Drosophila melanogaster: one gene and its partner. The protein of the gene in region 1 interacts with the protein of each later gene in a pairwise test. Each region holds a gene or a part of one and is shown in the gene's direction. Other genes may lie near its edges. The genes, in order: bbg and kst.

What was found.
Region 2: the proteins of bbg (region 1) and kst interact in a two-hybrid assay, tested with the Drosophila melanogaster proteins (one study listed by BioGRID).

Annotation. Positions count from the first base shown.
Region 1 is NT_037436.4:14,532,991-14,538,242, reverse strand, and holds the start of bbg (big bang), read left to right. Parts: upstream 1-1,966; 5' UTR 1,967-2,188; exon of another isoform or gene 2,189-2,204; intron 2,205-4,520; 5' UTR 4,521-4,682; intron 4,683-5,252. Other genes in the region: Mpcp2 (mitochondrial phosphate carrier protein 2), read right to left, coding at 1-211; CG43246 (uncharacterized protein), read right to left, coding at 1,052-1,299, 1,351-1,609.
Region 2 is NT_037436.4:3,348,270-3,353,275, forward strand, and holds the start of kst (karst), read left to right. Parts: upstream 1-1,838; 5' UTR 1,839-1,985; coding exon 1,986-2,067; intron 2,068-3,226; coding exon 3,227-3,417; intron 3,418-3,695; coding exon 3,696-3,863; intron 3,864-5,006.

The DNA of each region.
Region 1 (5,252 bases):
GAATGCCACCAATTCCGCACAGAGCGAAGTACTTGGTGCTGCCGAATTCGCACGAATCCTGCTGGTTGGCCACCGGGGTAGCGGCGGCGGCGATCTGGCGACCCTCAACCGGCTGGGGTTCCACCACTGGGGCGGCGGCATCGCATCTTGCCATCGACATGGGGGTGCGGAATGGCGAGTTCCGGGCAGTTTCAAAGAAGCTGGAGAACATCTTGATTCTGTTCTTGTTCTGGGGTCGGCTGAAAGTAGAGAGACCATCCATTAGTTACGTATATATGTACCTCGGAGGCGACATGTGCTTTATCTAATTATATATATAGCTGGGTAATCAGCTGCTTTTCGCTTTTGTAGGTTACATAACGGCGTGCCTCGAATTCCGAGCACCCGGACTTACGACACCAAATTTACCCGAAAAGCGAAGGATTTTAAGCAACCACGTAAATTTAGTGTATGTTAAGGGAGCGATAGAGCACCGCTCGGCTACTTTGATTTCGATTTTACAAAACTTATGCAATTTTCGCTCGGAATTTTCGCACTTACTATTCGTCAGCAACGTTAGCGGCTCGTTGGCGAGGATTCAAAGAATGAGGGGGGGCTCACGGAGGTGCAGCGATTTCTCACGAATACCAAAACGCCTTAATGGTTTTGCCGTGGAGAGGTGTAACTAGCGGATTGAGGATAGTTGGCCACACTCATGTCAAAATCTTCGGCTATGGACTGCAACCTTGGTGCAAAACTTTGGTGGCGCCTGAGCGTGGACTCGAACCATCTGCATACGAGGTATCAGGTGAGATTATTTTAATGCCATTGCCTTCGTTGTGAATAAAATATTAATTATTAATATTAATTTCATATTGATAACATTAGTTGTAAATATTTTGAAAAAATAATAAATTCATTTGTAAAATCCTCATATTTTTGCATAGTATTTGTGATTTGTTTTCTATTTTTACACAATAAAACAAATTTTAATCTAAAGCTTTATTGTATTTAGAACTCTCTGTAAAATATATAACAATTTTCAATTATATGTACATTTTAAATTTATAAGTTATAGCCCCATGGTAAAACTGGATAATTTTATGAGTAAATATGTGAAAATAAAGTTCTGCCATGATTTCACATGGGGTTGGCCCAATCCTTCACTTTTTACGCACGGACAGGAAATTAGGCCTTTGTATTCCATTTTATATTTCACTCTGCAAGTGAAGCAAAATTCACCCTGGTGATCTTCAGTTAATAAGATTTGACAACCGATTTCTGGTGACCAAACGCAGCAGACTTTGGCATTCATAGTATCTGTAAAATTAAAAAATTAGTCTTTTATTACTATTCAAATGCTTCTTATACCGATATGCAGTCCGGGTGGAACGCAAACACCCTCTTTATTGGTTGTTTTTGGGAATTCACCTTGTAGACGACCCAATCGCCTATAAAAGTTTCCTTCATAACAACTGAATCCTGTCTCTTTAATCCGACACATTTCCGTATTTTCCTTCCTACAATCTAAGCATCTCCCATTTTCTATTATAGATACGTTTTTTTCGGCACAGGTGATCAACAGTCTCCCACTGAGTATAATAAGAAAATATATACAATTAAAAGACATTTAAAATAAGAAAAATAATTCAATGAGACCGCGTTGATAAAGTTTATGTATGTATTTCCAAAGGCCACTATGTACGACTATTGTTACAAAACGAACAAAAGTGACTGATAATATACACTTGGATATTTATATTATGTAGGTTATTATTAAGTTCAAGGATTATTTAAGCCTTTCCGCCTTTTTTGTGGTTCTTACCAAAAGAACTTCAACGGACTCTTTCGCTAAGCTTTGAGTCTGTCTTTCGATTGTCTTTGTGCTTCTTTCTTTTTGTTTGCCGCCGTCTTTGCTTTTGCTTGTGCTTTTGTATTTGCTGTGTTTGCTCGCTCGTGGATTTCTGTGGAGTGAAGTTCGGTCGTCAGTTTGAGTTTGGTTCGTAGCGCGTTCGCACACGCGCGCTGTAGTAGTCCGATATATAGTTGATTCCCATTCGATCCGAGATCCGATCCGATATGATCGTTGTTGTGCCCCTCGCCGCCTCTCGCTCGCTCTAATCAGTTGGCCAACGTTTTAGGTCTGCGTACTTCGCGGCTAATTTCCAACTTAAGAAGTGAAAAACAACAAAATCTGGCAAATAATTGAGTAATTAAAGTTAAACGTAAGGAGAGCTGCTCTGCCAAGTGTTTTGTGTTAGTGCTTTTGTGTAACGGTCTGCTAACTGGAGCTGGATCTGAAATAGAGATTACGGCAAAGTGTTTTAGTAAATTGAATGTGGATAAGTTTTGAAAGCTTGAGAGTGGATGCGATAAACTGATCGATTTGGGTTTAGTCTGAGAAGAGGAAGCTTAAGTCGAAAAGTAATCAAGAGATTGGTCATGTTTTTGCAAGCGGAAAAGAAAGTTTGATTTAGGAGAATCGAAAAGTGATAACAAATGAGATATGAACTTAAGTGAAATATGGTTTAAGTAATAATAATATAATACATAATATGCATATACAAATGAATGAATATATCTTTCTAAAGAAAATACAATTAAGTTTTTAAAAATATTTCAAAATATCCTGTTAAAGTCTAGATTGAAGTAATCAATTACAATAACATTACACTTTGTATTGGATAAAATCAATAAAACATTGCAAATGTAGCTTTTTGAAATGTTTTGAATGGTATTAAAAACACCTTCGATCAACATAAAGAAAAGCTCACTGCATGTTGTAAGTGATCTCATAAGATTATCTCATTTCTATAAGCGGCAAATAACATGTAAACTCTGAACTGGTCATTTTAATTGATATTATCTTAGTAAATCTGTGTACATTAGGAAGATTCTATATTTAATAAATTAGGTTCCGAGTCTTCTAATATTTCTTAATAATTCTGACTGTTAGTGGTTCTCCTTTAAACAATTCATGGAATTTTATTGCCCATTTAAAACGAAGTGAGTCCTAAAGAAATTCAAAGAAAAACTAATCAACACCAGTTGCGACTAGTTAACCAGCAACAAAAATTGGCAACTTCCTTCAGTTGGGCGCCAAGTCATTAGCTACCCCAATCCTCCTCCTTTTTTCGCCAGTTTGGGGGCCCACTCAAAGTACCGCTATGACTAGACAGGCCTTGTCCATATATTTCTTTATTTTTTTGCTTACGAATATATATGCAGCCATTAGCCACCGCATCAACAAACGAGACGCCACAAACACACTCTGATCTTTTGAGGCGTTTTGAGGCGTTTTGACGTTTGCTTTGGGGCCCCTTCACTTTTTGTTGTGGCACTGCAAGAAATTGTTTGCTAGAAAGTCATTCCACAATGTAAAATTCGAGATAGAGACACTTCCTGTGTATGCTGAAATTTACAATTTACAACAAGACGACAAACTTTTAATACTTAAACTGTTCTAAAAATTTAAAAATGGTTTAAATTTTATTTATAATGCAATCTTAAAACCCCTATTTTATTTATTTGTTTATTGTACCTTTCTCGCTCTTACATCTTATCACTACTTTTTCTGCGTGCAGATCGTGGTTTTTTCGTGTTCGGGTGAAAAAGTTGCCGCGGCAAGTGCAATTCGCAGTTTGCCGTTCGCGATTCGCATTCCGCTGGCCGAAAGTATCTTTGGAGTTTTGCATCTTGTGGATGTCTGCCGCGGTTAACTGTAAATTGAGGCATGTGCCGCACACTCTCCCCATCTTTCTCTTTCTCTATGTCGCTAGATAGGCGCTCTCTTTCGTCTGTCAAGTTCAATGTGCGTTGACAATTTTCCGTTTCCAAATGGGCGATGTTTTCCACGTTGCTTCTTGTACTTTCACACACATTGGTTTTCCATTGTTGCTGCGCAACTGTGCGTGTACTTTAATTTATTTTAAATCGAAAGGCAATTTAAATTTAAGCATCAGTAAAAATAAAAAATGCAAAACCTAGTGAGTTTTTTTTTGCGCATTCAACCCGGAACTTAAGGTATAGGAGTACCCGAAATCAGCCAGTCGCCCTGCCGTTCGAGTCGTGTGTGGATGTTTTCCAAGCAATGTATCTACGTATCTTTTCATCCTCATCGCAAACGCAATGCATAAATCAACGACGGAAAGAAGAAAAAATCTCTGCTTCGCTTTTTTGTTAGTTTTGTGAAAGCGCAAGTCGTAGCGTAATTTTTACACTTTTACCAAAGAGAAAGAAGACGGAAAGATACATAGATACTCTTTACATACGGCTCATAAGCATCTTTTCTCTATTACCCACCGACATACACGATTTTCGTTTGCCGTTGTTTGTCTTTAAGCCGCTTAATTGAAAGTCTTGGCCTGACTTATGACTGGTTGGAAAAGCCAAATGTAAAAAAGAAGACCTCAAGATGGGTAAATGATTTTTCATCTAGCCCGTAGTGAAACCGATGAAAAATATAATTTTATTGATCACAGTGGGACTGGGTAAGGGGAAAGCTTTCAAAACTCTAACCAAAAGTTCCACCTGATTTTTAGTGCAATAAACTAATTAAACTAAAGTGAAATATGCCAGCAAATTCAAGATAAATATAAATAGGTGATTGTGCAAAAAACTTGCAAATGTTTTTATCTGCCATCTGTGCAAGTGTCCAAAAATCAAACGAACAAACTGCATCCTCTCATCATACAGCGAAAAAGGTAAGATCAAATTGATTTTAATAATCTATGCCCGTTTTAGTTTTTATTTATTTTTGCATATCCATTTGTTAACTCGTTTGCGATGTCTATTAACGGCATTCATCGCCCTGGGTAGTGAGCTCATCTCGGATCTAAAAGATATTCTCAACCTGAAACTTGTTCGATGATTCATTTTTCACAGCTCGGCTTTTCGATTTGTTTATTTACAGTTGTGATATCTTTTTGCTTTGCATATTTTGGCATGCAATACGGGCACGTTTAAATAATTTAATCTGTTAACCGTTTCGGTTTAGTTCATTCAACATTCCGCGAGCCTTTGCCATTGTTGTTAACTTTCCAAGTCGCTGCGCATCTTTTCCCCCACCAGTTAGTTCCCAATGTCAAGGTTGCGATTGTTGATGTTTTGGCTAAAATAAAAAATAAAATCTGCGAGTAGCCGGCTTATTACCAATTGTCTGCCGCTAATTGGAGCTCAACACTTCTCAAGTGGAACGAACGCCCCGTCGTACCGCTCTTGATCGTATAATTTGTAATTGCTTCGTTTTTCGGACAAGATATTTTACAAAAATA
Region 2 (5,006 bases), about 11 Mb from region 1:
GTTCATCTATCTATCTCATATTAAGTTAAGAGTATCATAAGTCTCTGTTCAACTTTAGCAGAATAAAAACGTAACTCTATAGATCATTTCCAGTTTAGATCTATTGTTTAAATTAAATCCAAGTCTGTGGCTCTTTCGTCTCCAGCTTAGCTGTTTTCTCTTTGAAATTGTTTGTTATTTTCTCTCGTTGATTTTAAAAAATTGTTTAGCATGCCAGGCACAAACAAAAGAATTTATATCACTGTGGGTTTCTACTTGTTGTGTTGTGTCAATCTGTATTCTTCTTTTCGACTGAGGCCAAAACTGAATTTTAATTTCCAGCCACTGATGAGGTAATTTTATGCGTAGAAATTTTTGACAACAAAGACCACCAATTCCCTAATTTGCCGAGCTATAGGTCTCATTATTTTCGGTTCAAAGCGGAGATGGCTGAAAAACTACGCTTTTATCAGACATATGCCATCACTCACGCAAAAGTAATTAAAATCGGTAACTACCTCGGATGTTATCTGAGTAGAAAAAGGTTGCCAAAAAAAGATGCCTAACTTCTTTTTGATATACTTTAAAGTATCATTTAATTCGGGATTTGCTAAATGATATGTGTGACTTAGCGTATGGGCCATAAAAATTAAGCATACAAAATGCTAAATGTTTATTGATTTATGCAAATTCTTACACAACTCCGAGGTTGTTGCACGCCTTGTTCATTAGCTAACCGTGTATGTGGAACACACAAGATCTAGAGAACACCGAAGAAGTTGAAAATCTATAAAAATCGTTTTCAAAGTGTTTGCGATGAGTGAAGTGTGGTGGTTTATAAATAGAAAGAGGCGCGGAATCCGAGTGTTCCTGCTCCCAGCTGCCGCGCATGTGCTGTGCTACCATGTTGTATCACAATTGAAGTAAACAGGATGCCCGGAATTCGAGCCTCGGTTCGCATTTGCCCCTGACTTTGCCTCTGCCGTCCTTTTCCGGCGACTTTAGTTGTATAAATAGTTTATGGCCAAAGACAGCTGTATGTGAGTTGGGGGATGCGTTCTATTTTGGGGATCAAGGAGGCACAGTTTTAATTGCTTTTCCTGCTAAGCCTAAAGTTATGCCGCACTCTGCATTTTCTAGGTTTTGTTTGCCACTCGATAATGATAAGCGTCGAACGTTATCGCGGTATGGTAAAGTTTATTGTCACACTGGTGTTGTTGGTTTTTTATTGTTTAGTTTTCACCTCTTTTTAATTGATTTTTCTATTTGCGAAAGCGAAGTGTTCTGTTTGCCAATTAGCCGCGAATGCCTTCCAGGTGACCTCAACGCCATTGGCGGCACATATGTATAGTAAATGATCTATTAGCGGAGTTATGACACCCGACCCGAGTAGACAGCAGATTATAACTCTTTGGCATGATGTCATTGGGAATGATCGAATTTGGCAGCTATTCTAAATGGCCCATTCATTAGTCTGCGGAATCTGATAGGGCGCCATAAATAACTTGATATTGGAAGTGCATTCCCCTCTATATATATGTATTTATTCCGAAAAACATATGTCCGAGGTATGCGGGATTTATGGACCGATAAGATAAGCCGACAGGGTCTATTGGCTGTTTGTCAAGGCAAGGATTTTCAGATACCTTAACCGTTTTCTCATACTGCTATCAGCTCGTGCGATAAAGGGAATTCACCATAGGCCAGTTGAAGCATTTTTGTTGCCACTCTTGGCATTTGGCTTTTAATTCATCTGATAAACAGAGCCAAGAGGGGGAGGAAGCTTTCCCCCACTCTACATTTTTGGGGCGTGCAAAATGTTGGGCACACATTGTTTTTAGTGACCAAACGGCGCGGGCTCTGCGAACATCTGACCGTAGGAACGAAACTTAGTGTCGAAATACAAAATAGAAATAAAAAACGAAAGATTAGCTTTAAGGAACGGCACTCGGTGCTGAAAGCCCGGATATCTTGAGAAACACCCTAGAAATCACTGATCAAAGGCCATGGAGTACAATAGTGTTCTGCGCTCGAATTTCTCGCGCAACGAGTATCGCCGATATATATCCTACGAACGCCAATCGTTGGGTAGGTTTCTGAACTTGAACTTTTCCCCTGGAAGCTCGCGATCATTATACAATCCCGAAACGAAAGTAACCTGCTCTTATCTATCTCAGTTGGGTGGAACTTCATATTTGGTTGATAAGAGCGCAAATATTTGGCAAATGAGTCAACGGCCTAGAAAAATGGTTTCGCTTTCTGCAGTTTCCGCTCCAATTTTGTTCACTTTTTAACATATTCTCTTGTCCAGTATTACGTAAAACGAACCGTTGATAAAAAAAAAGTAACAAAGTCGTGAAGCATTTTCCATAGGTATGAAGTAATTTTGGCAGTCGACAGATAAGCTCGCAGAACCACTATCGCTGGGCAGCGACTGTTTTGATTTCGATACGCTAGCTGGGGGTATATCTACTGGGTTGGAAAGTTGGTCACAGCTTGGTTTGTTTATAGTTGGTAGAGTTGAAATTATCTTACACTTGTTAGCAAAAGAAATTTAAAGATACCTTACTCTTTCATGAGGTAAAGTTACTTGAAATAAAGCAACAGATTGCTAATTTCTACATCTTAAAAATCTTTCACTATATTTTAAAATTCACTATCAAGCTTACTCAAAAAGGTGTTCACAATTTTGTTCAGCTAAGATCTAAATGTGAAACGCCAATCGACACATGGCTTATCTTAACGGGTCTAGAAAACAAAAGTACGTGATGAGGCGTTCGAATAAAAAGTGATTGTTGGTTCTTCGTTTGAAATACCCGTTGGTAATCTTTGACATTATGGGAACCCACTGATGGAATGATTTAAAATTAGGAATTACGTTTGACATAATCGAAAGACTACAAATAAACTGCCTTGGAATGTGGTTCTAACTTTAGCCAGGGATTTTTTTATAGAGGCAATTATGTTGGCGATAACTCGTTATCTCTAAATCAATAGGTTCGTACGTCACGGTCGTGCTTTCCCTATCTCTGCCACATACCTTTCGTATTTTTCCTCTATTTTCCCTATGCCCATTATTGATTTTGGTCTGTTGTCAGGTGGTTTGCCCATTTCTCTTTCCTGGAAAAAAATACAAAAAAAATGAAAAAAAATCAAAACAAACACTAAGCCTAAACGTTTCGCGTTGCATTTATATGACTTCGAACTAATCCGAGATTTTTGTTCCTCCTCCCTTCCCCCCACTTAGCATCACAATATGAGCCGGGAGGCTACTCCGCGCTGCAGACACCGACGCCTTCCAATCGCAACTCCGCCAACATGACCCAGCGGGACGGCATCATCAAGTTCGAGAACGAGCGGATCAAAACGCTGCAGGAGGAGCGCTTGCACATCCAGAAGAAGACATTCACAAAATGGATGAACTCGTTTCTGATCAAGGTGTGTAAACTACTTGAGTCACTCATCACTCCCAATACTTGTAATTTAATTACTATAAAGTACAAATGAAAGAAATGCTTTGTTTTGCTAAGCACATAAAGTTTTCATTGTTTAAATACTATAATTTCTCGATCAAAGTGATGTATTCAAATGAAAGCGCCATATGTATATGACATTCGAAATTATACATTCACTTGAAATTTTGATTGGAAGAAACTTTTATGGCCCCACCAATTTATGAATGCAACTCACATTTGGGCTTATCGTCTTCTTTGTAGGCCAAAATGGAGGTCGAAGACCTATTCACAGACCTGGCCGATGGCATCAAGCTGCTGAAGCTGCTGGAGATCATATCGTCGGAGAAACTGGGCAAGCCGAACAGCGGACGCATGCGCGTCCATAAAATCGAAAATGTCAACAAGAGTCTGGCATTCTTGCACACCAAGGTGAGATATGCCACATAAATGGCGGCGAGTGAAGGGAGTGAAGGCGTTGCAGTTGCTGGAAGACCAAAGACCGAAGACTGAAGACTGGAGAGTGTAAAGCTCTCTACGCATTTGTAGAAAGTGCAAGTCGCGCCTGCGCAGCTGCGCGTGGCCATTGCGTGCTTTGTTTGCCATATGAGGTGCACGGATCTGGCTGTTGGAGTCGGGATTTCGGATCTCGGGGAAGCGGGAAGTGTGAGGCGACGTCAAGACATGGCGAAAAAGTATATATTTAATTACCTAGCCTGGGCACCGCGTTTTCTTGGCAATATCTGAAATATTTGCATACTTTCTAATGCATTTTTTCCTTGACTTCACTTCACTTTGTTGCGCTTGGCACATTTTCCACTGCCGCGCTCATACTATACATGTGTACTTTCTTTGCACCTCTCGTGCGCATTTGATTTTAATTGAGCAAAGTGGGAGCTTAGCGTGCGACATAGTTTCGAATCTTCTGGCTAGTCAGGTGCCTCTGGTCTAATCTAATTAGAAGCAATTAAAACGCATCAAATTGTCCCACTGTCCAACTAATTCACTTTGTTTCTTAAGCGGCGAAGCAGTGAAAGTTTTCGGTTTTACTTTTCACCATTTCATTTCATTCCATTTCGTATTTCATTTGTTTTTCGGGCTTGTCTTTTGTGTGTGACACGGGTATTGAGTGCATTTTAATTGGTGTTTAGGCTTGAAAGAAGCCCGAGCGAAAGATTTACGCACAAGCGAGCATTCGATGGAGGATCCCTTGGGGACTCATTGAAGCGTTTAGCGGAGCACGACTCTTGGAATTTCCAGTCGCCATTAGGAGAACCAAAAGGCGTAGCTCCCTACTAAACATTAATGTACCAGAATAACTCGGAACGAGTCTATTAAAGCAAACGGTTTGTCGGGGAATAGGAATAAAGTTAGCTTACTGCCTTCTTATGAACTATTAAAAACGATAATCTGCCATACATAAATTATAAATGTATATATAATTTATGATTTTGACAATACTATTTAAATTCCTATAAATATGCACAAAATCGATCATAAATCTATGATTAACCCACCTCCAGATTCCCCTTTATCTGCTATGAATTTAAAAAGAAGCCGTAATTGGTTCTTAAA